Linked DNA regions of Anolis sagrei. The protein of the gene in region 1 interacts with the protein of each later gene in a biochemical or structural test. Links are inferred from orthologs where the notes say so. Each region holds a gene or a part of one and is shown in the gene's direction. Other genes may lie near its edges.

What was found.
Region 2: the proteins of SUMO1 (region 1) and PIAS1 form a complex in vitro, tested with the Homo sapiens proteins (6 studies listed by BioGRID and IntAct, with this or other methods). The link is inferred for Anolis sagrei from reciprocal best matches to the Homo sapiens genes SUMO1 and PIAS1.
Region 3: the proteins of SUMO1 (region 1) and PIAS3 form a complex in vitro, tested with the Homo sapiens proteins (2 studies listed by BioGRID and IntAct, with this or other methods). The link is inferred for Anolis sagrei from reciprocal best matches to the Homo sapiens genes SUMO1 and PIAS3.
Region 4: the proteins of SUMO1 (region 1) and RAD51 form a complex in vitro, tested with the Homo sapiens proteins (2 studies listed by BioGRID and IntAct). The link is inferred for Anolis sagrei from reciprocal best matches to the Homo sapiens genes SUMO1 and RAD51.

The regions. Positions count from the first base shown.
Region 1 is NC_090021.1:165,250,558-165,258,849, reverse strand, and holds the start of SUMO1 (small ubiquitin-related modifier 1), read left to right. Parts: upstream 1-5,137; 5' UTR 5,138-5,331; coding exon 5,332-5,343; intron 5,344-8,292. UniProt on the Homo sapiens protein: Ubiquitin-like protein that can be covalently attached to proteins as a monomer or a lysine-linked polymer.
Region 2 is NC_090029.1:24,240,483-24,248,659, reverse strand, and holds the start of PIAS1 (E3 SUMO-protein ligase PIAS1), read left to right. Parts: upstream 1-4,926; 5' UTR 4,927-4,975; coding exon 4,976-4,999; intron 5,000-8,177. UniProt on the Homo sapiens protein: Functions as an E3-type small ubiquitin-like modifier (SUMO) ligase, stabilizing the interaction between UBE2I and the substrate, and as a SUMO-tethering factor. Catalyzes sumoylation of various proteins, such as CEBPB, MRE11, MTA1, PTK2 and PML.
Region 3 is NC_090032.1:21,885,538-21,893,321, forward strand, and holds the start of PIAS3 (E3 SUMO-protein ligase PIAS3), read left to right. Parts: upstream 1-4,691; 5' UTR 4,692-4,775; coding exon 4,776-4,799; intron 4,800-7,784. Other genes in the region: ANKRD35 (ankyrin repeat domain-containing protein 35), read left to right, coding at 195-284, 1,184-1,249, 2,325-2,387. UniProt on the Homo sapiens protein: Functions as an E3-type small ubiquitin-like modifier (SUMO) ligase, stabilizing the interaction between UBE2I and the substrate, and as a SUMO-tethering factor.
Region 4 is NC_090021.1:289,656,415-289,663,760, reverse strand, and holds the start of RAD51 (DNA repair protein RAD51 homolog 1), read left to right. Parts: upstream 1-4,240; 5' UTR 4,241-4,340; intron 4,341-5,980; 5' UTR 5,981-6,000; coding exon 6,001-6,087; intron 6,088-7,346.

The DNA.
Region 1 (8,292 bases):
ACTGTGATTATCTACACTCAGATGATGTGGCATTGTCTGCTTTGATATTTTGTGCGCATTCAGAAGAAGATCTACAAGCCACTCCAAACACCTTCGCAGAGCATACGAGAAGCTCGGCCTGTCATTGAACATCGAGAAAACCAAAGTGCTCCTCCAGCAGTCACCAGCCAACCCCTTTCCAATGCCAGAGATACAGCTTAATGGTGTAACATTAGAAAATGTTGACCCTTTCCGCTACCTTGGCAGCCACCTCTCCACCAAAATCAACATCGACACTGAAATAAAACACTGCCTGAGCTCTGCGAGTGCAGCATTCTTCCGAATGAAGCAGAGAGTGTTTGAGGACTGGGACATCCATAGGGATACCAAGGTGCTTATCTATAAAGCTATTGTCCTCCCAACTCTGCTATATGCCTGTGAAACCTGGACTGTCTACAGACGTCACATGCAACTCCTGGAACAATTCCATCAGTGCTGCCTCCAGAAAATCCTGCACATCTCTTGGGAAGACAAGCAGACAAACGTCAGCGTGCTGGAAGGAGCAAAGACCACCAGCATTGGAGTGATGGTCCTCTGCCATCAACTCCGCTGGACCGGCCACGTTGTCCGGATGCCCGACCACCATCTCCCAAAGCAGTTGCTCTTCTCCAAACTCAAGAATGGAAAACGGAATGTCGGTGGACAGGAAAAGAGATTTAAAGATGGGCTCAAAGCCAACTTTAAAACTCTGGCATAGACACTGAGAACTGGGAAGCCCTGGCCCTTGAGCGCTCCAGCTGGAGGTCAGCTGTGACCAGCAATGCTGTAAAATTTGAAGAGGCACGAATGGAGGGCGAAAGAGAGAAACGTGCCAAGAGGAAGGCGCGTCAAGCCAACCCCGACTGGGACCACCTTCCACCTGGAAACCAATGCCCTCACTGCGGGAGAAGATACAGGTCAAGAATAGGGCTCCACAGTCATAGAATCATAGAATCATAGAATCAAAGAGTTGGAAGAGACCTCATGGGCCATCCAGTCCAACCCCCTGCCAAGAAGCAGGAATATTGCATTCAAATCACCCCTGACAGATGGCCATCCAGCCTCTGTTTAAAAGCTTCCAAAGAAGGAGCCTCCACCACACTCCGGGGCAGAGAGTTCCACTGCTGAACGGCTCTCACAGTCAGGAGGTTCTTCCTCATGTTCAGATGGAATCTCCTCTCTTGTAGTTTGAAGCCATTGTTCCGCGTCCTAGTCTCCAAGGAAGCAGAAAACAAGCTTGCTCCCTCCTCCCTGTGGCTTCCTCTCACATATTTATACATGGCTATCATATCTCCTCTCAGCCTTCTCTTCTTCAGGCTAAACATGCCCAGTTCCCTAAGCCGCTCCTCATAGGGCTTGTTCTCCAGACCCTTGATCATTTTAGTCGCCCTCCTCTGGACACATTCCAGCTTGTCAATATCTCTCTTGAATTGTGGCGCCCAGAATTGGACACAATATTCCAGGTGTGGTCTAACCAAAGCAGAATAGAGGGGTAGCATTACTTCCTTAGATCTAGACACTATGCTCCTCTTGATGCAGGCCAAAATCCCATTGGCTTTTTTTGCCGCCACGTCACATTGTTGGCTCATGTTTAACTTGTTGTCCACGAGGACTCCAAGATCTTTTTCACACGTACTGCTCTCGAGCCAGGCGTCACCCATTCTGTATCTTTGCATTTCGTTTTTTCTGCCAAAGTGGAGTATCTTGCATTTGTCACTGTTGAACTTCATTTTGTTAGTTTTGGCCCATCTCTCTAATCTGTCAAGATCGTTTTGAATTCTGCTCCTGTCCTCTGGACTATTGGCTATCCCTCCCAATTTGGTGTCGTCTGCAAACTTGATGATCATGCCTTCTAGCCCTTCATCTAAGTCATTAATAAAGATGTTGAACAGGACCGGGCCCAGGACGGAACCCTGCGGCACTCCACTTGTCACTTCTTTCCAAGATGAAGAGGAAGCATTAGTGAGCACTCTCTGTGTTCGTCCACTTAACCAATTCCAGATCCACCTCACCGTAGTTTTGCCTAGCCCACATTGGACTAGTTTCCTTGCCAGAAGGTCATGGGGGACCTTGTCGAAGGCCTTACTGAAATCCAGGTACGCTACATCCACGGCATTCCCTGCGTCTACCCAGCTTGTAGTTCTATCGAAGAAAGAGATCAGATTAGTCTGACATGACTTGTTTTTGATAAATCCATGTTGACTATTAGCGATGACCGCATTTGTTTCTAAGTGTTTGCAGACCACTTCCTTAACAATCTTTTCCAGAATCTTGCCCGGTATCGACGTGAGGCTGACCGGACGGTAGTTGTTTGGGTCATCCTTTTTTCCCTTCTTGAAGATTGGGACCACATTGGCCCTCCTCCAATCTGCTGGAACTTCTCCCGTTCTCCAAGAACTCTCAAAGATGGTTGCCAATGGTTCCGAAATGACTTCCGCTAGTTCCTTCAATACTCTGGGGTGTAGTTGATCTGGCCCTGGGGACTTGAACTCATTAAGAGCGGCCAGGTATTCCTGAACGACTTCTTTCCCAATTTGGGGTTGGATGTCCTCCAAACCCTCATCCACTCCATCTTGCTGAGGTTGAAGACTCTCTTTTTGTGAGAAGACCGAGGCAAAGAAGGCATTAAGTAGTTCTGCCTTTTCCCTATCCCCTGTCAGCATTGCCCCATCTTCTCCTCGAAGAGGTCCTACCGCCTCCTTGTTTTTCCTTTTTCTACTGACATAAGAATAGAAGCCCTTTTTATTGTTTTTAATGTCCCTGGCAAGTCTGAGCTCGTTTTTTGCTTTAGCCTTGCGGACCTTTTCCCTACAGGTGTTGGCTATTTGTTTGAATTCTTCTTTGGTGATTTCTCCCTTTTTCCACTTCTTGTGCATGTCTCTTTTGTGTCTTAGCACAGTTAGAAGTTCTTTGGACATCCATTCTGGCTTCTTTGCACTTGTCCTATTTTTTCTCTTTGTTGGCACAGTTTGCAATTGCGCCTTGAGTATTTCACTCTTGAGAAATTCCCATCCATCCGTAACTCCCTTGTCTTTTAGTATCTGTGTCCACGGAATGCTGCTCAGCGTTTCCTTCATTTTTTGGAAATCAGCTCTCCTAAAGTCCAAAATGCGGGTTTGACTTGTCTTAGTTTCGGCCTTCCTTTGTACCTCAAATTGCAGGAGCACATGGTCACTTGCCCCTAAGGATCCTACCACTTCGACCGCATCGATCAGGTCCTCCGCATTTGTTAAGATGAGATCAAGAGTAGTCAATCCCCTTGTTGCTTCTTCTACCTTCTGGACCATGAAATTGTCTGCAAGGCAAGCGAGGAATTTGTTGGACCTTGTACTCTTGGCCGAGTTTGTTTTCCAGCAAATATCGGGATAGTTGAAATCGCCCATGACTACTACATCTCTTCTCTGTGCCTGTTTGGTCAACTGTTGGCAGAAGACTTCATCAAGTTCTTCCTCCTGGCTTGGGGGTCTGTAGTAGACGCCTACAACGACATCTTTTTGAGTCCCAGTTCCCTTGATTCTTATCCAGATGATTTCAAGCTGGTTTCCCAGATTGCTGTCTTGAATCTCTTCTGTAGCATAAGAGTTTTTGACATATAAGGCTACTCCGCCTCCTCTCCCCTTTGTTCGGTTTCTGTGAAAGAGGTTATACCCCTCGATATCTACATTCCAGCGATAGGAGTCATCCCACCAGGTTTCAGTGATCCCTATGATATCATATTTGTGGTGTTGTGCTAAAAGTTGGAGTTCGTCTTGTTTATTTCCCATGCTCTGTGCATTAGTGTAAAGACATGTGAGCCCCTGAGATCTTCCCCTGAGCTGTTTAATTGGGATTATTGTGCTTTGGGTACTTGGTCCTTGTTGTGTTTGTGCAGCCCTCCGTTTAGCCTTCTGGCGATTCCCAGATATTGTGGGTAAAGTAGTGTTCGCAAGTCACCTACAGACTCACAAGAATTCTGATCCTGGAGGACTATCCTACTCCGCCGACGAGGGATCGCCTAAGAAGATATTCTGGGATATAGGGCTGTGTGGAAGGGCTCTTGAGTCCACACTCAGGTGCATTGTCTGCCTTGATAGTCTGGGCTATAGGGTGTGTGGAAGTGCCCTGAGTCCACACTCAGATGATGTGGGATTCCCTGCCTTGATATTTTGGGCTATAGGGCTGTGTGGAAGGGCCCTGAGTCCACACTCAGATGATGTGGGATTCCCTACCATGCTATTCTGGGCTCTAGGGCTGTGGGGAAGGGCCCATAGTCCACACTCAGATGATGTGGGATTTCCTGCTTTGATAATTTGGGCTGTAGGGCTGTGAGGAAGGGCTCTGAGTCCATACTCAGATACATTGTCTGCCATGCTATTCTGGGCTATAGGGCTGTGTGGAAGGGCCCCGAGTCTACACTCAGATGATGTGGGATTCCCTGCCTTGATATTCTGGGCTATGGGGCTGTGTGGAAGGGCCCCGAGTCTACACTCAGATGATGTGGGATTCCCTGCCTTGATATTCTGGGCTATGGGGCTGTGTGGAAGGGCCCTGAGTCTACACTCAGATGATGTGGGATTCCCTGCCTTGATATCCTGGGCTATAGGGCTGTGTGGAAGGGCCCTGAGTCTACACTCAGATGACGTGGCATTGTCTGCCTTGATATTTTGGGCTACAGGGCTATGGGGAAGGGCCCTGAGTCCACACTCAGATGATGTGGGATTTCCTGCCTTGATATTCTGGGCTCTAGGGCTGTGTGGAAGGGCCCTGAGTCCACACTCAGGTGATGTGGGATTCCCTGCCATGCTATTCTGGGCTATAGGGTTGTGTGGAAGGGCCCTTAGTCCACATTCAGATGGTGTGGGATTGCCTTCCTTGATATTCTGGGCTATAGGGCTGTGGGGAAGGGCCTTTAGTCCACATTCAGATGATGTGGGATTGCCTGCCTTGATATTCTGGGCTATAGGGCTGTAGGGAAGGGCCCATAGTCCACACTCAGATGATGTGGGATTTCCTGCTTTGATAATTTGGGCTCTAGGGCTGTGTGGAAGGGCCCCTTCTCGGCCTGTTTTGCTTGCTTCCCCTCCCTTCCTCCCTCTGCGCGTGTAGGAAGTGAGCTCAGGCGGCAGAGAGGAAGTCCCGCCCCCTCCTTGCCCTGCGCTCTCGCCTCTCTTGCTGGCTCCGCGTTTGGAGGAGGAGGAGGAGGAGGAGGAGGAAGGCAGGAGGGAAGGCGCCTAGGGGTCTCTCTCTCGGGGCAAGGCAGGAGGTGGAGAGGGGACGCGGCGAGGAGGAGGAGGAGGGCGGCTGCCTGCCTGCCTGAGCCCGCCACCCATCAGGATGTCGGACACGGTAGGAGGACGCCTTGCCCGCCGGCCCCGGGAGGCCTGTTTCCGCGGCTCCCCTCGGGGAAAACAAAGGCGGGATCCGCACCGCCGCGACTCCAGGCCATGCCGTTCTCGGCAGTGCAGGATCCAGCCAAGATGGGGAAGGCCAACCCACCATTCCTTGCCTTGCCTGCCTTCCCTCCTCTTCCCTGCGAGGCTTGGCTTCAGAAGAGCCTTCCTCTCGGCTTCCCTTTCAAGGATCCCACCCCTTCTCCCTCTTCCTTCCTTCCTTCCTTCCTTTGCGGGGATGATCTGGACTTGGAGTGAATGGAAAAGGAGGCCGAAGTCTTCCTCCTGGGCCTTGTTTTGTTTACTTGCCAATACACCCAGACCGCAGTGCACGAGTTGGGTCTGTTTGTTTACTTGTCTCAGCGCCGGAAACGAAAGAGGATGACATAGGCCTGCGTTTAGGGGGTGTTTTTTTTTTAGTCTTAGACCCCCATCTAGACTGGATCTACACTGCCATATAATCCAAGGCCTTTCCACACAGCCACATGACACAAAACATCATGGCAGGTAATCCACAAAATCTGATTTGAACCGAGTTATCTGAGTCCACACTGCTATATAATCCAGTTCATTGTGGATTTTATACCGCGATGTGGAAGGGCCCCCAGATTATCAAAGCAGATAATAATCCACATTGTCTGCTTTGAGTTGGATTATAGGAACCCCCCTTCCACATAATCCAGATTATCTGCTTTGAACTGCATAATAGGATGCCCATTCTACACTGTACTATAATCTAGATCAGGGGTCCTCAAACTTTTTAAACAGAGGGCCAGGTCACAGTCCCTCAAACTGTTGGAAGGCCAGATTATAATTTTTAAAAAAATGAATGAATTTCTATACACACTGCACATACCTTATTTGTAGTGCAAAAAACACTTAAAAACAATACAATTAAAATGAACAATTTTAACAAATATAAACTTCTTAGTATTTCAGTGGAAAGTGTGGGCCTGCTTTTGGCTGATGAGATAGGATTGTTGCTGTTGCTGTTGTTGTTGTTGTGTGCTTTCAAGTCATTTCAGACTTAGGTTGACCCTGAGCAAGGGCCGGATAAATGACCTTGGAGGGCCGCATCCGGCCCCTGGGCTATAGTTTGAGGACCGCGACCTAGATTGTCAAAGCCGACACTTCATATTATTGAAGCAGATTTTCCACTTTGAGCTGGATTATAGAAGGCCCCTTCTACCCTGCCATATAATCCAGATTATCATATCAGATAATCCACGTTATCTGCATTGAACTGGATTATAGGAAACCCCTTCAACACTGCCATATAATCCAGATCAGGGGTCCTCAAACTAAGGACCGGTGGCCGGATATGGCTCTCCAAGATTATTTACCCGGCCCTCGATCAGGGTCAATCTAAGTCTGAAATGACTTCAAAGCAGATAATCTGGATTGTATTTGGTAGTGTAGAAGGGACTCAAGTCTCATATCCATACTATAGTTTCTGAACACAATGGTTCTGTTTCTGTATCTAGATTTAGTATGAATTCTGTAAAAGCAATTCTTCCAAATGCTACAAATCTTTTGTCTTCCATCATTACTATTAATTACAATTTTTCTTTTGTCCACCTTTATTGTCCTCTAATTCAACCTTGCAACTTTTAATTTACTTCTCATTGCAAGTGGCAGATTTGAAGTACGGGTAACGTACTATATTTACATCGCACTAGTGAGTTGATCCTTAGTTTTTATTATTGTATTTTGATTCTGAAGTTAACAGCTCTTATAATTCTCAGAGCAACTTTTGTAGCTGATAGTCAAGATACTTCAGAAGATGCAAAAGACCATCAAAGCAGTAGGGAAACAAAACAACAAACAAAACAACTGGAAGCAAAGCTTCTGAATATATGCTGCATTAACTGCAGTGACAACATCTCAACTCCAATATGCAGGTTTGCAAGTTCTTATTTGTGTTTAATTTTTTCATGATTAAATACATATGCATTATGCCTGCCAGGATTTTCCATAGCAGGGTATCGTGTAAAAGGTTTCTACCTGGTTTCTTAATACCAGATGGAAACTTAAGTACATATTTATTTGGCATATTTTCAGCTTTTCAGAGAAGTTTATACCATTTTACCATTGGCTTCTATGAGCAACCCAAGGCACCCGGCTTTCTTTTAAAAAAGAACCAGAAGTTGGGTAATGCTTACTGTTGGTACCAGATGCTTGCCCTTATGTTTCTAGTTGTTAACTTTTCTGATTGGAGGATTACTGTATTTCTTTGATTCTGAGGTGCCATTGATTGTAAGACATACACTAATTTCAGTACTACCAAAATAATAATAATAATAATAATAATAATATTACATTACATTTTTTGATGTCAGGACTTGAGAAACTGCAAGTTGCTTCTGGTGGCCCTCTGCAAGGATGTTGCCCAGGGGATGCCCTGGTGTTTTACCATCCTGTGGGAAGCTTCTCTCATGTCCCTGCATGAGAAGGTGCAGCTGATGGGAGCTCACCCCGCTCCCCGGGTTTGAACCGATGATCTTTCGATTAGTAGTCTTGCTAACACAAGGATTTAACCCAGGGCTCCTCAAACTTTTTAAACAGAGGGCCAGGTCACAGTCCCTCAAACTGTTTTTATGAGTGACCATCACTCATAAAAACACTGAAAAACACAGTGGAAAAGACATTAAAAGCAAAAAAATAAATAAAATAAAAATACATATCACAACACATGCACATAACCACCTAAGTACACATATACACAAATATATACACATACACAAAAAAACACATGCACAGACTGGGCTACAGCAACGTGTGGCAGGGGACAGCTAGTCTATATAAATAAAAATGTAATGTTCGTTTGTGGGATTAACAGAACTCAAAAACCACTGGGCGAATTGGCACCAAATTTGGACAGCATACACCTAACAACCCAATGTAT
Region 2 (8,177 bases), on another chromosome or scaffold:
TGTGGCCAGTCCAGCGGAGTTGATGGCATAGGAGCATCGCTTCAATGCTGATGGTCTTTGCTTCTTCCAGCACGCTGACATTTGCCTGCCTGTCTTCCCAAGAGATTTGCAGGATTTTTCAGAGGTAACACTGATTCCAGGAGTTGAGTGTGCGGTGTGTAGAAAGTCCACATTTCACAGAAATATAACAGGGTTGGGAGGACAATAGCTTTATAAACAAGCACCTTGGTCTCCCTACGGACGTCCTGGTCCTCAAACTTGGAAGACTCCTGTGTGCGAATTTTTTAATGTGTGGAGGTTAGTGCACAACCAATCAGCACACGGTCTTCACAGAGTGGGGTGCACACCTTATTCCGCCTTCACAGCCGTTGTAACATGTATCATGTTATCTTCCGCTTGCTCCACCATTGAGGTCTTTGTATTGTTCTTAGTCTGGATTCTCCCCTGTGGCCCCTCCTAGGAGTACATGACTCCAGTGGTTACACCCGCAGGTTCATTGGAACACGCAAGCCCCCTCACCAGGACAAGGTGACAATCTGTCGAGCACTTATGTAGGAGGTACTCAAAGGCTGCGTGTGAATGTCCCCATAAATAAATACCTAAAATAACATAATAATAAAATAGAGAGGAGAGAATCATAGAGTTGGAAGAGACCCCAAGGGGCATCCAGTCCACAAATACGTAACCAAATCACTCTTAGCAACCTTTTTAGTTAGATATAACCACATAATATATTTTTCATTAGGCCAGTTTATATATATATATATGCTGTGTCAATATTGCTAAAAGGTAAAGCTTTGTGTTCATTTACCTTCTAATGTGGATATGCTTCATTATTACCCAGCTTCAACTGTACTGTGCAGTTTCATCTGTAGGGACTACAAAAATGTGCTCTTTTCACTGTTGCTGGTTTTTAGTCACTGGTTTTGTCAAATTTTCTGGTTGAGCTGATATAAATCACCTTCCAGAATCTATCTCAAATGGGGAGGAATAATTCCACTCCAGGCACTGCCTGAGCTGATGTCACAGAATGTCCATCACAATTCTAATAGTTGTTATTGTTATTAAATAACAATAGTTTATCAACAGTTGTCATTATTTGCTGTCATGTGAATGCTATATGGAAGACAGCAAAACAGTTCTGCTCAGACCTTGCAAATTCAGCAGCCATGGCTCCTATGACCGAATCCATCCAGTTGCAGTGCAATCTTCTATGAGTTCCATTAAGTACCTTCGTGTCACGATACGTTCAAAGTATAGAGGCCTCAGTTTTACCATTATTTTAGGTGACACCAAAATAATGGCCTATAAAATGTTGGGGAAGTGTTTCCGCAGAAATGTATTCTTCTTTTAAAATATTTTGTGGTGAAATGCAACCACAAAACGATGTTTCCATAAGCTCAGCTTCACATATCAACATAGCAGACAGAGTTTTCCTATTCCTTTATCTAATTTGTTGTCAACCCACTCCATTGGGGCTCACACAAATCTACCATTTGTCAAAATATATATGATCCTGTGCAATTCCTTCCAATTTCTGGCCGATATATATATAAGCACACACACATATATTCCTACTAGCCGTCCCCTGTCACACATTGCTGTGGCCCAGTCTATGTATATGTGTTTATGTTTGTATATGTGTGTTTACGTATGTATATGTGGTTTTGGCATGCGTTGCAATGTAAATTTTGTTTTTTGGCTTTTTAAGTCCCTTCTACTGTGTTTGTCAGTGTTTTTATGAGTGATGGTCACTTGTTGGCATGAGAGGTGTCTTGTGTCCAGATTTGGTGTCAATTCATCCAGTGGTTTTTGAGTTATGTTAATCCCACAAACTAACATTACATTTTATTTATGTAGATACTAGCTCTCCCCTGCCACGCATTGTTGTGGCCGTCTGATGACCTGGAAAATCAAGTAATGAGAAAGTGCTGGTTTCTAATATATGTAATGTCTTTATGCTTGTGGGTCAACAGTATTTCTTGCTGTTTCTTTGTCAGTGTTGATGTGGAGATTGTCTGATTTGCCTACTTTGGAACATGCAAGATGGAAATTGTCCTTCTTTAGGGGTCCCTTTCAAATCTATACTATATCTCTCTGTGTGTGAATCTATCTAATCTATGGCTGGATGGCTCTTTGTCAGGAGGGCTTTGATTACGTTTTCTTGACCTGGTGGAGGGAGTTGGACTGGATGGCCTTCAGTATGGGGGTTCCGTGTGGGAAGTTTGCCCCAATTCTGTCGTTGGTGGGGTTCAGAATGATCTTTGATTGTAGGTGAACTATAAATCTCAGTAACTACAACTCCCAAATGGCAATGTCCCTCAAACTCCATCTGTGTCCATATTTGGGCTTATGGAACATTCATGCCAAGTTTGGTCCAGATCCATCAATATTTGAATCCACAGTGCTCTCTGGATGGAGGTGAACTACAATTCCAAAACTCAGGGTCAATGCCCACCAAACCCTTTCAGTATTTTCTGTTGTCATGGGAGTTCTGTGTGCCAAGTTTGGTTCAGTTCCATTGTTGGTGGAGTTCAGAATGCTCTTTGATTATAGGTGAACTATAAATCCCAGGAACTACAACTCCCAAATAACAAACTCAATTTTTTGAGTGATGGTAACTCCTTGGGTTAGTAGGTGCTGTGGCCGACCTTCCCTCCCTCTTTCTCTCTCAACTTCCTTCCTTCTCTCCCTCTTTCCTTCATGCCTTCCTTTTTTCCTTTCCATCTCACTTTCCTCCCTCCTTTTCTTTTATTTTCCTTCTTTCTCTCCTTTCTTCCTTCTCTCCCTTTCCTTCCTTTGCTCTTCGCTTCCATCCTTCCTTCTCTCTTTCCTGCTTTCTTTCTCTCCCTCCCTCTTTCTTTCTCTCCTTTCTTTGCTGCTTCCCTTCCTTCCCTGCTTTACCTCTTGCCTGGGTGCTGGAAGGAAGGATCCTCGGAGCCAGGCGCAGAGCAGGCGAGAGGGAGGCGCTTCTTTCTGCCATGGCTGTGGGATGCCTCTCGAGCTGGCTGTGCTCGTGCGGCGGGGATGGGGGAGAAGATAATGCGTTTGGATGCATGCACAGTGTTCTCTTTTAAAATTTAAGGTCTTGCTGTTTTTTGGGAGGATTTTTTTTGAGTGCAGAACATAGATTGCTCTGAATGCTGTGTTCTGTCCAAATTTGGTGTCAATTCCCCCAGTGGTTTTTGAGTTCTGTCAATATCACAAACGAACATTACATTTTTATTTGTAAAAGTCCAAACTCTTTGCCATGGCTGTGGTGAGGTAAAAGCGAGGCCTTTATCTTGAATACAGTCAACTGTTTTTTTGCAGTCTGTGGGCTCCACAAATCCTCAAAGGAGTCTATTTTTCCGATTCCGATTTGTGGTGGATCTACTCATGCAAATCTACCATTTGTCTTAATATATATGATTTTATGCTATTCTTTTCCATTTCTGGCCTATATAGACATATATAGAGACTCCCAAAGGACAGTCCTGATTATTCGCCATGGCCGTGGTGAGGTAAAAGTGGGGCCTTTATCTTGAATACAGTCAACTATTTTTTTCAGTCTGTGGGCTCCACAAATCCTCAAAGGAGTCCATTTTTCCGATTCCGATTTGTGATGGATCCACTCATGCAAATCTACCATTTGTCATAATATATATGATCCTATGCTATTCTTTTCCATTTCTGGCCTATATAGACATATATAGAGACTCCCAAAGGACAGTCCTGATTCTTCGCTAAGGATGTGGGGAGGTAAAACTGAGGTCTTTATCTTGAATACAGTCAACTGTTTTTTTGCAGTCTGTGGGCAAACAATTTTTCCTATTCTGATTTGTCGTTGATCCATTCCATGGGCTTAGAATCATAGAATCAAAGAGTTGGAAGGGAACTCATGGCCATCCAGTCCAACCCCCTGCCAAGAAGCAGGAATATTGCATTCAAATCACCCAGCCTGTTTAAAAGCTTCCAAAGAAGGAGCCTCCACCACACTCCGAGGCAGAGAGTTCCACTGCTGAACAGCTCTCATCAGGAAGTTCTTCCTCATGTTCAAATGGAATCTCCTCTCTTGAAGTTTGAAGCCATTGTTCTGCGTCCTAGTCTCCAAGGAAGCAGAAAACAAGCTTGGTCCCTCCTCCCTGTGGCTTCCTCTCACATATTTATACATGGCTATCATGTCTCCTCTCAGCCTTCTCTTCTTCAGGCTAAACATGCCCAGTTCCTTAAGCCGCTCCTCATAGGGCTTGTTCTCCAGACCCTTGATCATTTTAGTCGCACTCCTCTGGATACATTCCAGCTTGTCATCATCTCTCTTGAATTGTGGTGCCCAGAATTGGACACAATATTCCAGGTGTGGTCTAACCAAAGTGGAATAAAGGGGTAGCATTACTTCCCTAGATCTAGACACTATGCTCCTATTGATGCAGGCCACAATCCCATTGGCTTCATGCAAAACTACCATTTCTCATGACATATATGATCCTGTGCTATTCTTTTCCATTTCTGGCTTATGTAGATATATATAGAGACTCCCAAAGGACAGTCCCGACTCTTCTCCATGGATGTGGTGAGGTAAAAGCGAGGCCTTTATCTGGATCACAGTCAACTTGAGGCTCTTTTTCCTTCACAAGCCTGGAATCCAGTGGCTAGGCGCGCTTCTTTCTGCGCATGCGCCTTCCCAGAACCAGCCTGAAGTTCTCCTCAACACCCCTTCAAAACGCCATTGACTTCATCCTCACCGTGGTTATGAGGAAAATGAATGTAATATGTGTACAATATCGAGAAGTCTGGGTTACGGGGCGACGGAGGGGGGGGGGGGGGGTTGGGACTCCTTTCCCGCCTCGGGTCCCAACCCCGCTTTGAGGCGGGACCCAAACAAAATGGCGGCAGGCGCGGCGGCGCCGATTCAAACGCAGCGCGCGCAGGCCGAGGCGGCGGAGGGGGCGGGGTTCTCGGTGGAGCCCACTGCGCATGCGCCCCGCGATTCAAGATGGCGGACAGTGCGGAACTAAAGGTAAAGGCGCAGTTCGGAAGGGGCCCCCTTTTCCCCCCGCAGCTTCCTTCTCCTCGTCCCCCCTGCTTGATTCCCCCTCTCCCCTTCTTTCTCTCCGGTTCTTTCCCTCAGGCTTCGGGCCTTTCCCTTCCTCTCGACCCTCCGCCGGCCTCCTGGCCTGAGAGGGAGAAAGGAGAGTTCGGCTGAGGGAGGAAAAGGCGTTCAGGAGGGGCAGCTTCCCTTCTCTTCCCTCAGGAGCTTTGTAAATGGGAGGGAGACCCCTAGGAGGCCCCCCTGGCCCCCCAAAGGAGCTGTTTCCCTCAGGAAGGGTCTTCCCTGCCGCCCTGCGAGGTAGGACACGCATTCTCTATTTCCTCCCGTTTCAGAAACTGGCTTCATAGATCCCTGGCAGGCAATATTGATTTATTTACTTATCTGAGTCGATTTGTACCCCGCTTTTCTCCCGCACCAAGGCGAGACGCAAATGCAATAAGAACAACAACTAATACTCCAGAGCAGGCATGGGCAAATTCGACCCTCCAAGTGTTTTGGACTACAACTCCCACAATTCCTAAGTTTTCCCATGCCTGGTCCAGATCAAGGGAAGTCTTAGTGCCTTTGTATTCTGCTTTGGTCAGACCTCACATGGAATTCTGTGTCCAATTCTGTTCACCACAGTTCAAAAGAGATAAAGGTTAAACAGGCATTCGGTTAAACAGTGCAATGAATACGATGAATATAGGAACGGAATCACGGATGACGAATTGGACTACGATTCTAGTTACGAGACGTTAATGTGTTGTTATTGATGTGTTATTACTTTTATACTATGCTGTTAATGGTTTTTAAACTATGCTGTTGGACTGACTTTTTGATCTTGTTGTGAACCGCGTTGAGTCGCCTACGGGCTGAGAAACTGCGGTATACAAGCAAAGTAAGTAAGTAAGTAAATAAATAAAGTGCTGGTTTTGACCTATAAAGCTCTATACCAGTGGTTCTCAACCTGGGGTCCCCAGATGTTTTTGGCCTTCAACTCACAGAAATCCTAACCAATGATAAACTGGTTGGGATTTCTGGGAGTTTTATTTATTTATTTATTTACGGCATTTATATGCCGCCCTTCTCACCCCGAAGGGGACTCAGAGTGGCTTACAATATATATTTTCATACAATATATTATATTAGCATAGTACAATATCAGTATATATTGCTATATTGCACTATACCATTATATTGTAATATTATTAGTAATATTACATGTAATGTAAATATATAATTATAATTATAATATTGAATTATTATTACTAGTATTATATTGTATTACATTATAATGTTATAAATATTATATGTATATACAATATACTATATTATATTATTAGTAAATACAAGATGGAAATGTCTTCTGCTCCCTTCTGTCTTCGCTCTGGCCAGAAGCGAAGTTGTTGGAATTGTAGGCCAAAAACATCTGGGGACCCCAGGTTGAGAACCACTGCTCTATACGGTTCTGAACCAGCTTACTTATTCGAACGCATCCACCCCTATGTCCCTCCTCGAAACCTAAGATCATCCGGGGAGGCCCTGCTCTCGCTCCCGTCAACAGCACAAATGCGCCTGGTGAGGACGAGAGACAGGGCCTTCTCAGCAGTGGCCCCCCGCCTATGGAATACACTCTCAACTGAGGTAAGATCGGCCACTTCCCTCCTAGCTTTTCGTAAGAAATTAAAGGCATGGTTTTGGGGCTAGGCTTTTGGACAATAGATGCAAGCAGCACTTTAAGGGAATGTGCCTGGAATGATGATATGGCTGATGAGACTGTTTTACTGTTTTGACAATGGCTTATGTATTGTTATTTATGCTTTTATGTCTAATTGTGGTTTTAATTTTGTAATTTGTTATGTAGTCGCTTCGGAATGGGGCCGTTCTGAGTCGGCCCCATGGGGCCGTCCTTCTCAACCTTCAGGGGTTGAGAAGGATGGGATAGAAATGCGAGAAATAAATAAATAAATAATATTGACTCTAAGCTTGGTCACCCACCAGAGGAGGGTGACCAAAATGATCAAATATCTGGTGTCTTGTTTAGTTTGAAAAAAGAGAAAGTTGAGAGGAGACATGAAAGCCATGTATCAATATGTGAAAGGATGTCATAAGAGAGGAGGGAGCCGGCATCCTTTCTGCTGCCTCGGAGACTAGGACTCAGTGGAGTAATGAGTTCAAATGACAGGAAAGGAGATTCCACCTGAACACGAGGAAGAACTTCTTGATTGTAAGAAGGGCTGTTCATCAGTGGAACTCTCTGTCATGGAGTCTGCTGGAAGCTCCTTCCTTGGAAACTTTTAAATAGATGCTGGGTGGCCATCTGTCAGGGGTACTTTGTGCTTTTCATGCATGGCAGGGGGTTGGACTAGATGGCCTGTGTGAATCTATGATAATTATTATCTTCAAACTTTATTTATATCCCATCCCATCTCCCTCTGGGGACTCAGGGTGGCTTACAACATAGATGGCAACCATTCGATGCCACACAAATACATAACAAAATACAAATACATAATAAATTAAAAATACAAATAATTAAACAATTTATCATAATGAAACATCATAACAAATCAACAAAACATGATTCACGGCAACAATTAAAAGCAAGATTAAAAGCCAGGTTGATAGATTAAAAACCATATTTTTCATTAAAGCTCTATCTGTAGACCATTAATTGTGTAGAAAGCCAGATATTGAAATGTTTGATTCTCCATAAACCTGGGAGCATAGATAACTTTTAGTTGTTTTTTGAAAGAGGGGAGCATGGGGGTCATTCTGATCTCTTTTGGGTGAGGGTTTCAGAGGTGAGGGCAACTACAGAGAGGCCCTTTCTCTCATCCCAACCAGCTGGAAGGCCAAGAGGAGGGTCTCACTTGATGAATGCAGTGTCTGGACAGGTTCATATGAGGAGAGGCCGGTGGCCAGGTAGTAAACTTTTTAAAAATGTAAAGTAAAATTTAAAACAGATTAAAACTCGATAAATTCCTTATCACAATCTGATTATCTAAAACTGTCAGTGATAAAAAACCCTATTTACAAATATACCTATTTAAAATAATTCATTAACCGCATTGGGAGACAAATTTCTGTACTCTTGGATCTAGAGAGATCCGTGGTCCATCTACAATTTTAATTTCCCCCAAAGGCCTCTTCAGACATAAAA
Region 3 (7,784 bases), on another chromosome or scaffold:
ACTTTGCATTGTAGAAATGGGATAGACTTCAGGGGTCATTTAAGATCATCTAGTCCAAGTTTGGAGGGACCCTAAAGGTCATCTAGCCCAAGTCTTCTGATAGTCATTGCATTATAGACTTTGGAGGGACCCCAAAGGTCATCTAGTCCAAGTCTCCTGATAGACATCACCATATATTTTCTGTTTTATCTCAGTTCAAGAAGCTGTTGAAGGAAACGGAGAAGCTTTCCAGCGAAATCTTGAACCTCCGGAGCGAACGCACCCGCCTCCGCCTGCAAAACGAGGTGAAATAAATATGGAAAAAATAAATAGAATTAATAATAATAATAATAAATGCAGGAAAATTAATAATAATAATAATTAATTTTCCTGCATTATTTATTTATTTATTTATTTATTTTTCCTGCAATTATTATTATTTATTTTTCCTGCAATAATAATCATAATAATTTTTCCTGCAATTATTATTATTATGAATTTTCTTGCAATTATTATTATTTATTTTTCCTGCAACATTAATAATAATAGCAGGAAAATTAATCATAATAATAATTATTATTGCAGGAAAAATAAATAATAATAATCGCAGATTTTTCCTGCAATTATTATTATTATGAATTTTCCTGCAATTATTATTATTATTTATTTTTCCTGCAATAATAATAATAATAATAATATTTTCCCTGCAATTATGATTATTATTAATTTTCCTGCAATTATTATTATTTATTTTTCCTGCAATAATAATAATTGCAGGAAAATTAATTATTATTATTATTATTATTATTATTGCAGGAAAAATAAATAATAATAATTGCAGGAACATTAATAATAATAATAATTATTATTGCAGGAAAAATAAATAATAATTGCAGGAAAATTAATATTAATAATAATTGCAGGAAAAATAAATATTATTATTATTAATAATAATAATAATAAATAATGTAGGATAAATGAAATATTCACAGAATATTCAACAGCACATACACTAAAATTGGAATGATACAGATTAGCAGAATTAACAATTAATTGAAAATCCAATTGGATATATAAATAATTTATCAATTACTTTTCCACCATCAACATTTAATAATATTAATATTCCTAGAATGCAATATATTCCTATTTTTCTGCAAATATTTAATATTAATAATATTTATATCAACATTTATCCTAACAGGTGGCCCAGAAAAACCATCAAGAGATTGTGGCCATTTACCGAACTCACCTGCTCAATGCGGCCCAGGTAAGACTCATATTATTATTATTATTATTATTATTAGTTCCCATATTTCTCATTATTTCTCTTGTCTTTTGGAGGCAAGTGGGAATGTTTCAATTGGCATTGAATGGCCTTGCATCTTCAAAACATTTATTATTATTATTATTATTATTATTATTATATAATTATTATTATGCTATTATTATTTCCAATATTTTCTATTATTTCTCTAGGTTCTCCAACAATATTTAATGCTATTATTATTATTATTATTATTTCCAATATTTTCTATTATTTCTCTAAGTTCTGCAACTATATTTAATAATAATAATAATAATAATCCTCATCATCATCATCATTAAATACTGAACCTAGAAAATCCTAGAGAAATAATGGAAAATATTGGAATAATAATAATAATAATAATATAAATATCACATTTATTATTATTAAATATTATTTATTTTATATAATTATTGTGCTATTATTATTATTATATAATATTATTTATTTTATATAATTATTATTATGCTATTATTATTAATTTCCAATATTTTCTAGTATTTTTCTAGATTCTCCAACAATAATTAATTTAATGCTATTATTATTATTATTATTATTATTATTTCCAATATTTTCTATTATTTCTCTAGGTTTAACAGTATTTAATTTAATGCCATTATTATTATTATTATTATTTCCAATATTTTCTATTATTTCTCTAGTTATTATTATTATTTCCAATATTTTCTATTATTTCTCTAGTTATTATTATTATAACCAATATTTTCTATTATTTCTCTAGTTATTATTATTATTTCTAATATTTTCTATTATTTTATGTGATTATTATTATTATTATTATTTCCAATATTTTCTCTAGGTTCTCCAACAATATTTAATAATAATGATAATAATGATACTATTAATGTTATTATTATTATTATTATTATTTGCAATAATAATCATATCATTATTATATATTATTATATTATTTTTGTGATATGAGAGCCAGCTTATGGACCTCATTTGCTGTGTCAGTATAATAAATAATAATAATAATAATAATAATAATAATGAAAATATGTCTCCAATTTAGGGCTTCATGGACAAAGAGGTGCACGAGATGCTGCTGCGGATCCTGAGGACAAATGACGACTGATGGGCAGAAAAATAAATAAAATGAGATTAAAATAAAAGTCAGTGGTCATCCTTTGTGATATTATACATTTTTCTCAGGGGAAGGGCTGCGAGTTATGGTTCTGAAAGTGTTCTACCATACAAGTCCCGTATCCACAGGGAAAGATTTCCGAATGTACTTTGGGAACAGCACACTACAGCAAACTCGGGTGGTGATGGCATGATCGTCAGCATAGATGAAGCTCTCTATCCCTTCTGCCAGTGGCTGGTCATTCATGTCAATGTTAAACTTGAGGAACCGTATTAAGAGGCATTAGGAAGGTTGGGAAACACTGACTTAAAGCTTTGGAGAGCTTCTGTTCAACCATTACAAAGCTCTCTGCTTCGGTGGTGATGGCACGATCATCAGCATATGTTAAACTATCCCTTTTGGCAGTCGCTGGCCATTTGTGTAGATGTTAAACACAAGGACGTGTATTAAGAGGCATTGGGGAGGTTGGGAAACACTGACCTAAAGCTTCGGAGAGTTTCTGTTCAACCATTACAAAGCTCCTTGCTTGGGCAGTGATGGCATGATCATCAGCGTATATTAAACTCTCTGTCCCTTCTGGCAGTGGCTGGACATTTGTGTCAATGTAAACATGAATGCTGCAAGCTGGTTTTCCCTGTAATAGGCAGTAAGAGAACCTAAAGCTTTGGAGAGCTTCTGTTCAACCATTACAAAGCTGCCTGCTTGAGTGGTGATGGCATGATCATCAGCGTATATTAAACTTGCTGTCCATTCTAGCAGCGGCTGGTCATTTGTGTCAATGTTAAACATGCACGGAGTAAGCACACTCCCCTGATTCAGGTCGTTTTTCTATCTTCGCCATCTGCTTCTCTGGCCCTGAAACTCAACAGAAAAGCTCCTGTTTTGTAGCAGATTTCCTATGAAGTCCTTTTTGATTTTATACATTTTTCTCTGCATTTTATATGTATTAGAAATCAGTCGATTTTCCCTGTAATAGACGGTTAGAGCACTTCAAGCTTCAGAGAGCTTCTGTTCAACCATTACAAAGCTCCCTGCTTGAGTGGTGATGGCCTGATCGTCAGCGTATATTAAAGTCTTTTTCCCTTCTGGCAGTGGCTGGTCATTTGTGTCAATGTTAAACATGAGGAATTGTATTAAGAGGCATTAGGAAGGTTGGGAAACATTGAGCTAAAGCTTTGGAGAGCTTCTGTTCAACCATTTCAAAGCTCTCTGCTTGGGCGGTGATGGCACTGTCATCAGCATATATTATTATTATTATTATTATTATTTCCAATATTTTCTATTATTTTATGCTATTATTATTATTTACCAATATTTTCTATTATTTCTCTAGTTTCTCCAACATTTTATTATTATTATTATTATTATTATTATTATTATGCTATTATCATCAATATTTTTATATTATTTCTCTAGTTATTATTATTATTTCCAATATTTTCTATTTATTATTTATTATTATTATTTCCAATATTTTCTATTATTTATTATTATTATTTCCAATATTTTCTATTATTTATTATTATGCTATTATTATTTCCAATATTTTCTATTATTTCTCTAGTTATTATTATTATCATCAATATTTTCTATTATTTCTCTAGTTATTATTATTATTTCCAATATTTTCTATTATTTATTATTATGCTATTATTATTAGCAATATTTTCTATTATTTCTCTAGTTTCTCCAACATTTAATAATAATTATAATTATTATGCTATTATTATCATCAATATTTTCTATTATTTCTCTAATTATTATCATCATCAATATTTTCTATTATTTATTTATTTATTATTATTATTTCCAATATTTTCTATTATTTCTCTAATTATTATTATCATCATCAATATTTTCTATTATTTATTATTATTATTATTTCCAATATTTTCTATTATTTATTTTTATTTTTATTCTTTCCAATATTTTCTATTATTTATTATTATTATTCTTTCAAGTATTTTCTATTATTTCTCTAGTTATTATTATTATTTCAAATATTTCTATTATTTCTCTAATTATTATTATTATTTCCAATAATTTCTATTATTTATTAATATTATTATTTCCAATATTTTCTATTATTTATTATTATTATCGTTCTTTCCAATATTTTCTATTATTTCTCCAGTTTCCCCAACATTTAGTAATAACTATTCCATCCTATTCTGCGTCTGCTGCGAGGGTTAGCTCTTTAGCGACGCTCCCTGGAGCTTCCCAAGCCGTTCTTTACCGAGGCTGCCTTCGGCCCCGCCCCTTTGTGGGCGTGGTTTCTGGAGGCCCCGCCCCCTCCTGCGTGGCTTTGGCTTCGGCTTCTTCTGCGCCTGCGCCTCAGCTTGGGAGTTTGCCTCCGCTCCCTAGCGAGGATGCCTCAAGATGGCGGAGGCGGCCGAGCTGAAGGTAGGCGGAAATCGGGGAGCGGGCTCCGAAAAAGGGAAAAAGCCGGCCTCGGGGGACCACGGGGGTGTCCCCAAAGGAAGCGGGGTGCCCGAAATATAGGGGGGCCCGGGAAGCCCGGCTCGGGGTGAAAAAGTACCGCCAAGGAGGCTTCGTGAGGGGAAGTAGGCCGCACAAGATGGCGGCGATTCGGGCTTGGGAGAGGGCGGAAGTGACGTCACGCAGGAGGAGGATCTCAAGGCAGAATGGTCAGGCTGATGTCAATAATATATAATAATAATGCCGTAAAATAAATATAATTATATTAATACAAGAATAACAGTATTTAATGTAGTATAGTTATAATAATTTTAATTAAAATAATATTAAATAGTAATGTAATATAATATTTATTAAATAATATTAAATAATAAAGTAATATAATAAGATTGATTAAAATGATATTAAATAGTAATGTAATAAATATAACATACTATAGTAATATAACTTAAAATATTAAATAATAAGGTAATATAATAATATTGATTAAAATGATATTAAATAGTAATGTAATATAATAAATATAATAAAATATAGTAATATAACTTAAAATATTAAATAATAATATAATATAATTAATATAATATAATATAGTAATATAACCCCTGCCCATCCTGGCTTCTGAAGGAGGCCAGAGGGGGATTGGCCGAGTGGGTGAAGGTGGTGGTTAATGCCTCCCTTCGGGAAGGCAGAATTCCAGCCAGCTTAAAGCAAGCTGTGATAAAACCGCTGTTGAAGAAACCATCATTGGACCCCACTCAATTTGACAACTTCCGGCCAGTTTCCAATCTCCCCTTTTTGGGCAAAGTCCTGGAACGTGTGGTGGCCTCACAACTCCAGGTATTCTTGAGAGACACGGATTATCTGGATCCGGCACAGTCTGGTTTCAGACCGGGACATGGTACCGAGACGGCCTTGGTCGCCTTAGTGGATGATCTGCGCCGGGAGCTCGACAGGGGGAGTGTGTCCCTGTTGGTGCTGCTGGACCTCTCAGCGGCCTTCGATACTGTTGACCACGTTATCCTTCTGGGACGCCTCGCGGGAATGGGTCTTGGAGGGACTGTTTTACGGTGGCTCCGGTCCTTCCTGGAGGGTCGCACCCAGAAGGTGTTATTGGGGGACACCTGTTCTACCTCACAACCTTTGTCTTGTGGGGTTCCACAGGGTTCAATACTATCCCCCATGCTGTTTAATATCTACATGAAGCTGTTGGGAGAGATCATCTGGAGGTTCGGGGTACAGTGCCATCTGTACGCGGATGATGCCCAACTCTGTCACTCCTTCCCACCTGCTACTAAGGAGGCTGTCCAGGTCCTGAACCGGTGTTTGGCCGCTGTGATGGTCTGGATGAGGGCGAACAAATTGAAATTAAATCCAGACAAGACAGAGGCACTCCTGGTCAGTCGCAAGGCCAAACAGGGCATAGGGTTACAGCCTGTGCTGGATGGGGTCACACTCCCCCTGAAGACACAGGTTCGCAGCTTGGGTGTGACCCTGGACTCATCGCTGAGCCTGGAACCCCAAGTTTCAGCGGTGACCAGGGGAGCATTCGCACAGCTTAGGCTCATGCGCCAGCTGCACCCGTACCTTGGGAAATCTGACTTGGCCACGGTAGTCCACGCTCTGGTTACATCCCGCTTAGATTACTGCAACGCTCTCTATGTGGGGTTGCCCTTGAAGACGGCCCAGAAGCTTCAATTGGTCCAACGCGCGGCAGCCATGTTACTAACAGGAGCGGGATGCAGGGAGCACACAACGCCCTTGTTGTACCAGCTCCAGTGGCTGCCGATTTGCTACTGGGCTCAATTCAAGGTGCTGGCATTGGCCTTTAAAGCCCTAAATGGTTCTGGCCCAAGATACCTATCTGACCGCATCTCGGCCTACGAGCCCACCAGGACTTTGAGATCGTCCGGGGAGGCCCTGCTCTCGATCCCGCCTGCCTCACAGGCACGCCTGGCGGAGACGAGAGACAGGGCCTTCTCGGTGGTGGCTCCTCGGCTGTGGAACGCCCTTCCCGTGGACATCAGACTGGCTCCTTCCCTAAAATAATAATACTGTAAATAATTGTAATTATATTAATATAATAACAGTATTTAATACAGTATAATTATAATAGTACTAAGGCAGAATGATGAGGTTGATGTAAATAATATTATAATAATAATATAACAATAATAATGTAATAATATAATAATATAGTAATATTATTAAAAATAATAATATTATATTATATAATAATATAATAATAAGGTAACAATAATAATGTAATAATAATATAGTAATGTTATTAAAATAATAATATAATTAAAATAATGATACAATAATAATATAACAGTAATAATATAATAATATAGTAATATTAAAAATAATAATATAATATAATTATATTACATAATAATATAATATTATAATAAAAATATATAACAATATAATTAAAATAATGATATAATAATATAACAATGATAATGTAACAATATAGTAATATTATTAAAATAATAATGTAATATTATTATAAAATATATAATAATATTATTAAAAATAATAATATAATAATATAATATAATGCCTCTAGACCATGGCCATATAGCCTGAAAAACCTACAACAACCCAATAATAATAATAATAATAATAATAATGCTGTAAAATAAATGTAATCATATTAATAGAAGAATAACAGTATTTAATATAGTATAATTATAATAATAAATAATACTAAATAGTAATGTAATATAATAATATTGATTAATATGATATTAAATAGTAATGTAATATAATAAATATAATATATAGTAATATAACTTAAAATATTAAATAATTTAGTAAATATAATATAATATAGTAATATAAAACATTAAATAAAATAATAAATATAATATAGTGATATAACTTAAAATATTAAATACTAATGTAATATAATAATATTGATTAAAATGATATTAAATAGTAATG
Region 4 (7,346 bases), about 120 Mb from region 1:
TTCAGCATTTTCAGTTTCATAGCTACACTTGCCCAGTAGAGGGCTGTTTTGATTCAGTAGTTCATGAAGACTTGGTTGAAATATCAAGTTATTTATTGGCTTTGCTGGCTACTTTGGGGGGGGGGGGGAGACCCAGAATGCAATTGTATGAGGATGTTCAAGGATAGATCTACCCTGAATGTGGCTATAAGCCAAGAGCAAAAAAAGTGCTAGTTATAACATGTGCAACTGTTAAGGCTTTTCCACATATTTTGATGTGTGCATACCACTATTTCACAAATATTTTCCTAGACTCTCACTGTTGGTTTTATTTATATCTATTATGAATGAATGCTTAAAACTCAATAGTTTGTACTCAAAATTTCAGCTTTTATTTACAACTGTCCTCCAAAAGAAATTATAATGTAGCTTCAAATCTTAAACAAGCATTTAAAATATTTAGCACTCCCTGTTGTTCTATCAGAAGTGAGCGATTTTACAGAATGATTTACCATAACTCTATTCTCTTGCCATACCACTAAGAAGGCAATTTTGTCAACAGAGCAACTGTCCCACTGTATTTTATGCCAATTCTTGGACTTGAACCATAGTCTCCGTAAACTTTATGAAACTTTATGAAGAAAAGTAGCTCAAAATGAAATGGTGGGTTCAGCCACTTTTTAATGTATATATATTGCTGTTGTTGTTGTTGTTCATTCGATCAGTCGTTTCTGACTCCGTGACCTCATGGACCAATTCACGCCAGAGCTCCCTGTCGGCCGTCACCACCCCCAGTTCCTTCAAGATCAATCCAGTCACTTCAAGGATCCCATCCATCCATCTTGCCCTTGGTCGGCCCCTCTTCCTTTTTCCTTCCATTTTCCCCAGCATCATTGTCTTCTCTAAACTTTCCTTTCTTCTCATGATGTGGCCAAAGTACTTCATCTTGGCCTCTAAAATCCTTCCTTCCAATAAGCAGTCGGGCTTTATTTCCTGAAGTATGGACTGGTTGGATCTTCTCGCGGCCCAAGGCCCTCTCAGAACTTTCCTCCAACACCACAGTTCAAAAGCATCTATTTTCCTTCACTCAGCCTTCCCTATCCAGCTCTCACATCCATAAGTGACTATGGGGAATACCATTGCTTTAACTATGCGGATCTTTGTTGCCGGTGTGATGTCTCTACTCTTCAATATTTTATCAAGATTGATCATTGCTCTCCTCCCAAGAAGTAAGCGTCTTCTGATTTCCTGGCTGCAATCTGCATTTGCAGTAATCTTTGCACATAGAAATACAAAGTCTGTCACTGCCTCTACGTTTTCTCCCTCTATTTCCCAGTTATCAATCATTTCAATAGTTTATTGAAAAAATGAAGAGAGTTGATTGCTGCTATATCACACCACCGAAGGACTCCACAAACCCTGCACTGGTTCAGTACTTTCGATACCATTAAGTATTGCCTGAAAGGATGGCAGATTATATAACAAGAACATAACAAATTATAACATGGACAGAAAATCCACACAAGCAATGATTAATGGTTTCCACTACGTTTTCTATTCTGTGTTCATAAAAGGAATCAAAGACAAGCCGCTTTAACCAGCATACCTTAGAATTGGTGGTTAACACTAATTCTTACCCAGGCTTTGCTGAGTTTATTTTGGCTGAAAATTTTAATCTACTGAAACAATTACTTGCTATCTGAATGGACAAATAAAATCTTGTGAATTTAAAATAATTGATGCTGTCAGCATTTTATAAGTTGTGGTGCCATGGTTTGGCCTCCTACACAGCAAGGAAAGACCTAAAACTAAAGATAGAAAAAAAAGTCAGCCACATTTAAATATACTGATTTCCTGCTCATGACCTAAATGTGAGAAATTGGACTCTTATGTCAACTCAGTTAAATATCAAGTATGATTGAAAGTTAATAGCAAACGTTTCTGCATCCTTCAGATACCCAGTCACGTCTTAAACCTATCTAGGAAGAGTTGCATAACATAAAGTGTAAAGTTATATAAATACCAAGGTCAGGATCATCCACTGCAAAGGTTTTCTGATTTCTATATATGTTTTGAAGCTGGATAGTGGAGATCAACTCATTTTGAATGTGCTACTAGAAGACACATGGATGACATGGATCATCCAAATGAGAAATAAATGGGTCTAGGGCAAATCAAGCCTGAATTCTCACTGGAAATTATGGTGATTAAACAGATTATTGCAGTGGAAACATGTTAAGAAGCAACACGACTCATTGGTAAAAAAAAAAGGGGGGGGGGCAATTAAGTGCAAGAGGCTAATTGCAATGGAGGGACATTTATAATAATAATAATAATAATAATAATAACAACAACAACAACAACTTTATTTATACCCTGCCACCATCTCTCCAAGGGGACGCAGGGTGGCTTACATATGGCCAAACCCACAATACAATACATCAAAATACAATAGAACACAGCAATAAATAAAATAAAAATAAAATACGAAGCATTATAAATACTACATCATCAATATAAAATTGTAACATTTAAGATGGAGAGATAAATCTCAGTGGGCAGGGCCAATTCCAAAGGATTAAAAAATTAAAAACACTAGGTGAGAGAGCAATAGTGTGTGTCTGGACAGGGGATCTGGGGATAAGTGAAATTTAATTGCACTACTAGGAGATATAAAATGCTTGTGAGGGCATTTGCAGGACTTGGTCTGCTTCTGGGCCTAGGTGTATATCAACAACACTAATTGCTAATTAATATCTACTCATGTATTTCATTAATAATTAATACAATGTAAATAACAATAATGCATCTATAAATAAAAGTCCTTTCTAGGAGTGCATCTACACCAGGCATGGGCATGGGGACGAGGAGCAGGGCCTTCTCGGTGGTGGCCCCTCACCTGTGGAACTCACTCCCGGGAGAAATTGGGGCATCAACATCCCTCCTCCCCTTCAGGAGGAAAGTAAAGACGTGGTTGTGGGACCAGGCCTTCGGGCAATCTGACAACTAGATAAGGACAATCAAATGACTAGGACTGACAGGACTGACAATGTGGAATTGGAATTTGGAGTATGAGATAGTGAATGCTGACCGTCTATGAGGAGTAATTGGGTTTGTCTTGTTTTATTGGTTTTATTATTATTATTATTATTATTATTATTATTATATTATTATAACTTTATTTGTACCCCGCTAGCATCTCCCAAGGGCCGAAGCCCCAAAACACAATACAAAAAGTACAATACCTAAAGCAAAATTAAAAACAGTTAAGCAGAAAAAACAATAACAGTAACAATACAACAAGACACTATTAAAACTGGGCCGGCCAGAGTAGGGGTACAGGATTAAAAGTGCTGATGTGGCGGGAGGAAAGTAGGATTATAATATAAGTGCAGTGTGCAGTGATCTTGGTTCTACTAAAGTGCTTCTAGGATTTGGTGCTGGAGGTTCCTAATCTGGAAAATTTTATTGGTTTTAGGGTTGTAATGCAGGAATTGTTGTTTAACTGTTCAACTGTTTAATTGGTGTTATTTTGTTTTACTACTGTTATGTGACGCTGGCACCGAATTGTGCCTTTGTAAGCCGCCCTGAGTCCCCTTCGGGGTGAGAAGGGCAGGGTAGAAGAAACCGAAATAAATAAATAAATAAATAAATAAACTTCAGCCCTCCAGGTGTTTTGGACTTCAACTCCCGCAATTATTTACAGCAAAATCTGACCATCAGTATTTTTTTAAAAAAAACTCTAAAATCAGGCCAGTAAATAAAGAACAACACAAAAAACAGGCAAGAATCAATCAGGGCCAGCTAACACCTCCCAACAAAGGACCCCCAGGCAGCAACCAGCCAGGCTTTGAAGCTCCAAGGCCATTGAATGCTAATCAAGGTGGCCAATTGCAATATTCACACAGACAAGAGTTCTTTTTCCCAACCTGGACATTCCAGATATATAAACCTCACTTGCCTAGTTTCCAACAGACCTCACAACCTCTGAGGATGCCTGCCATGGATGTGGGCGAAACGCCTAGAGAAAGAATGCTTCTGAAACATGGCCATACAGCCCGGAAAACTCGCAACAACCCAGCGATTGCGGCCATGAAAACCTTCGACAACACTTTTCCAAAAGGTGATGTCTGGCTGCAAAAGAGCCTCTTGGAAGAAGGGAGGGGAGAGAGGGCAAGTATAGAGGCGGTGCGCATGCGTAACGGGGGGGGCAAGCTCACGCCGGAGCGGACCAGTCAGCTCGCAGCAGAGGCGTTACTCTTCAGGAGAGCGCAGTCACGTGACGCAGTGGCGGGCTCTTCCGAATTTGTGGGCGGAGAGGAAGAGGAAACAGGGAAGCAGACGGGGCCTGAACCACTGAGGTAGCTTCATTCTCCCCACCCCCTCCATAATTCATATTCAGAAACAGATAATATTGGGGGGCTCTCCCCTCGGCTTCCTCCTGCTTTGAGAAGTTCTTGTTTTGTTTTTCAAAGGAAACGTTTGCCTTCCACTCAGAGTGGGAATGATGTTGGCTGAGTGAGGCCGCCATTACTGGGCAAAGAGAGGGCGTTTGGCCAGCTGTGGCTTCTCTTTCCTGGTGGGACAAGGGCCTGCGTAGAGACTGGGAGAGGGGTATCTTTTCAGACTACAACTCCCAGAACCTCACAATGGTCCACAAGTGTGGCTGAGAGAGTGAGTCCATTTACTACACCAGGCCTGGGCAAACTTGGGCCTTTCAGATGTTTGGACTTCAACTCCCATCATTCCTAACAGTCTCGGGCCCTTTCCTTTTCCCCCTCAGCCGCTTAAGCTGAGGGGGAAAAGGAAGGGCCCTGAGGCTGTTAGGAATGATGGGAGTTGAAGTCCAAAACATCTGAAAGGCCCAAGTTTGCCCAGGCCTGGTCAGCATTAATCCTGCAGTGTAGAAATACCCAATATTAGCTGTATGCTTTTTTGTATAGGAAACCCAAATGAATGATTTAAATTGGTATTATTATAGCATACTAGCCGTCCACACGTTGCTGTGGCCCTCAGAAAACAGAGGAATTCCAGGCATGAAACAATAGACAGAAGAGACATGTGGAAGGCCATTGATAGACGGAACTGAAGGTAGATGGATAGAACATAGGTAAGGTAGAGAGATGGATGGTCAGATAGACAGACAAAAGTGGGTTGGACTAGATGGCTTTTGGGTCTCCCTTCCAAGTGGTTGGCCATTTGTCAGGTAGGCTTTGATGGTGTCTTCCTTTACTGCCCAATGAGGTTGGACTGGATGGCCTCTGGTGCTCCTTTCCTACTGGATAGCCATCTGTCGGGAGGGCTTTGGTGGTGTCTTCCTTTACTGAAAAAAGTGGTTGGGCTGAATGGCCTATGGGGCACCTTTAATAATAATAATAATAATAATAATAATAATAATAATCTTTATTTATAACCCACCGCCATCTCCCCAAAGGGGACTCGGGGCGGCTTTAACTACCATGGCTCAATGCTGTGGAATAGTTCCACGCTGTAGACCAGGTAGGGACAGATTTGGCCTCTCCAAGGGTTTTGGACTTCAACTCCCACAATTCCTAACAGCCTTTTGGGGTTGGAGTTGTTTTTGTCACTGTGTTTTTCAGTGTTTTTATGAGTGATGGTCACTCGTTGACCTGATAGGTGTCAACGAGTGACCATCAATTCATCCAGTGGTTTTTGAGTTATGTTAATTCCACAAATGAACATTACATTTTATTTATGTAGAGGGTTTGACTGCCCAATAAAAATACTAGTAAATGTGTTTATTTATTTACTCAATTTATACCCTGCCTTTCTCACCAAGTAGGGGACTCAAAGTGGCTTACATATATATAGGCAGCGATCCAATGCCATACGAACATACATCAGTAAAATAAACATATACATTGAAATAGTCATTTAAAACATATCAAACCTTTAAACCACTTATTTACAAATGGAGTCTTGTACCAAACAAGCTCTGTGAAACATCCCATCATTTAGCAGACTTTTCCTGTTTTATTAGAAACATCAACAACTTTAGCCATGGCCATGCAAATGCAGAGTGACACAAGCATAGATGCATCAACAGAAGAGGAAAGCTTTGGCCCTCAACAAATTTCACGGCTGGAGGTATGTGGTGTTTCTTACGAAATATATGTTTGTGTTGAATTCATTAAGGAATGCTGATAAGTATTGCAACTGGCTGGTCTGGAGTGAAGGGTCATCACTAGGTGAAGGGTAAACAAGGGGAAGGAAGATAGAAGTAAATAACAAGTATGTAATACAGCTAGAGGGCCCCCAGGTGGCACAGCAGTTTAAACTACTGATCTGGGGAAATTGCTGACCAAAAGGTTGGTGGTTTGAATCAGGGAAGCGCAGTGAACTCCTGCTGTTAGACCCGGCTCCTGCCAACCTAGCAGTTCGAAAACATACAAATGTGAGTAGGTCAATAGCTACCACGCTGGCAGGAAGGTAACTGTGCTCCATGTAGTCACGCCAGCCACATGACTTTGGAGGAGTATACGAGCAACACCGGCTCTTCGGCTTAGAAATGAAGATGAGCACCACCCACCCCCCAGAATCGGACATGACCAGACAATGTCAGGGGAAATCCTTACCTTTAATAGAGCTAGAGGATGAATGCCATATATTATAGGACGCAAGACATAACATATTTCTGTATTGCAATCTGTTATGGGGAAATGGTACATACAAGAGAACGTTGCAATGTACCTGCTTGGGGAATGGCATACCTGTATTATATGTACTTGATTATCCCTAGTTTTCTTTTTAATGTTTTGTATGTCATCAATTCACTCAATAAAAAACCTTTAAATTAAAAAAAAGGAATACCAACAATTCTTTTTTAAGTGTAGCGTTTAAATACTTCATTTATTTCAGATTTTTTTTACCCCACTTTTCTCCACAAGTGCACCCAAGACAGCTTATAACATACAAAACAGATGTTAAAAACATAGTTAAAATCAAATATTTGATATAACCAATGCTAGTTTCAGTACAAGGAATGCTATTGTGGTTTTTAGTTTTGGTGAACTGAAAAAAACTTTTATCTCAGGACCTGCTCACCACCAATGAGAACTTTAATTAAACTCTGGTTACATTTATTTATTTTAAGGTATTTCAGAGACACCTGTCTTGTACAATATATCCAGGCAATGCAACAATAATAAAAAGTATATTCACAATAACTACAAACCTTAAAGAAAACAATTGACTTTTAAGTTATGATACACCATCAAACAGAGGCCAATTATAAGAAGTGTTTGATGTTGAACTGAATCAATGTTGGTATTATTTTGGATGAGTAAATGAGACAGGTATTCCAGAAAACAGGTGTTTTCCTGGGGAAAATTGTAGAAAATCCCCAA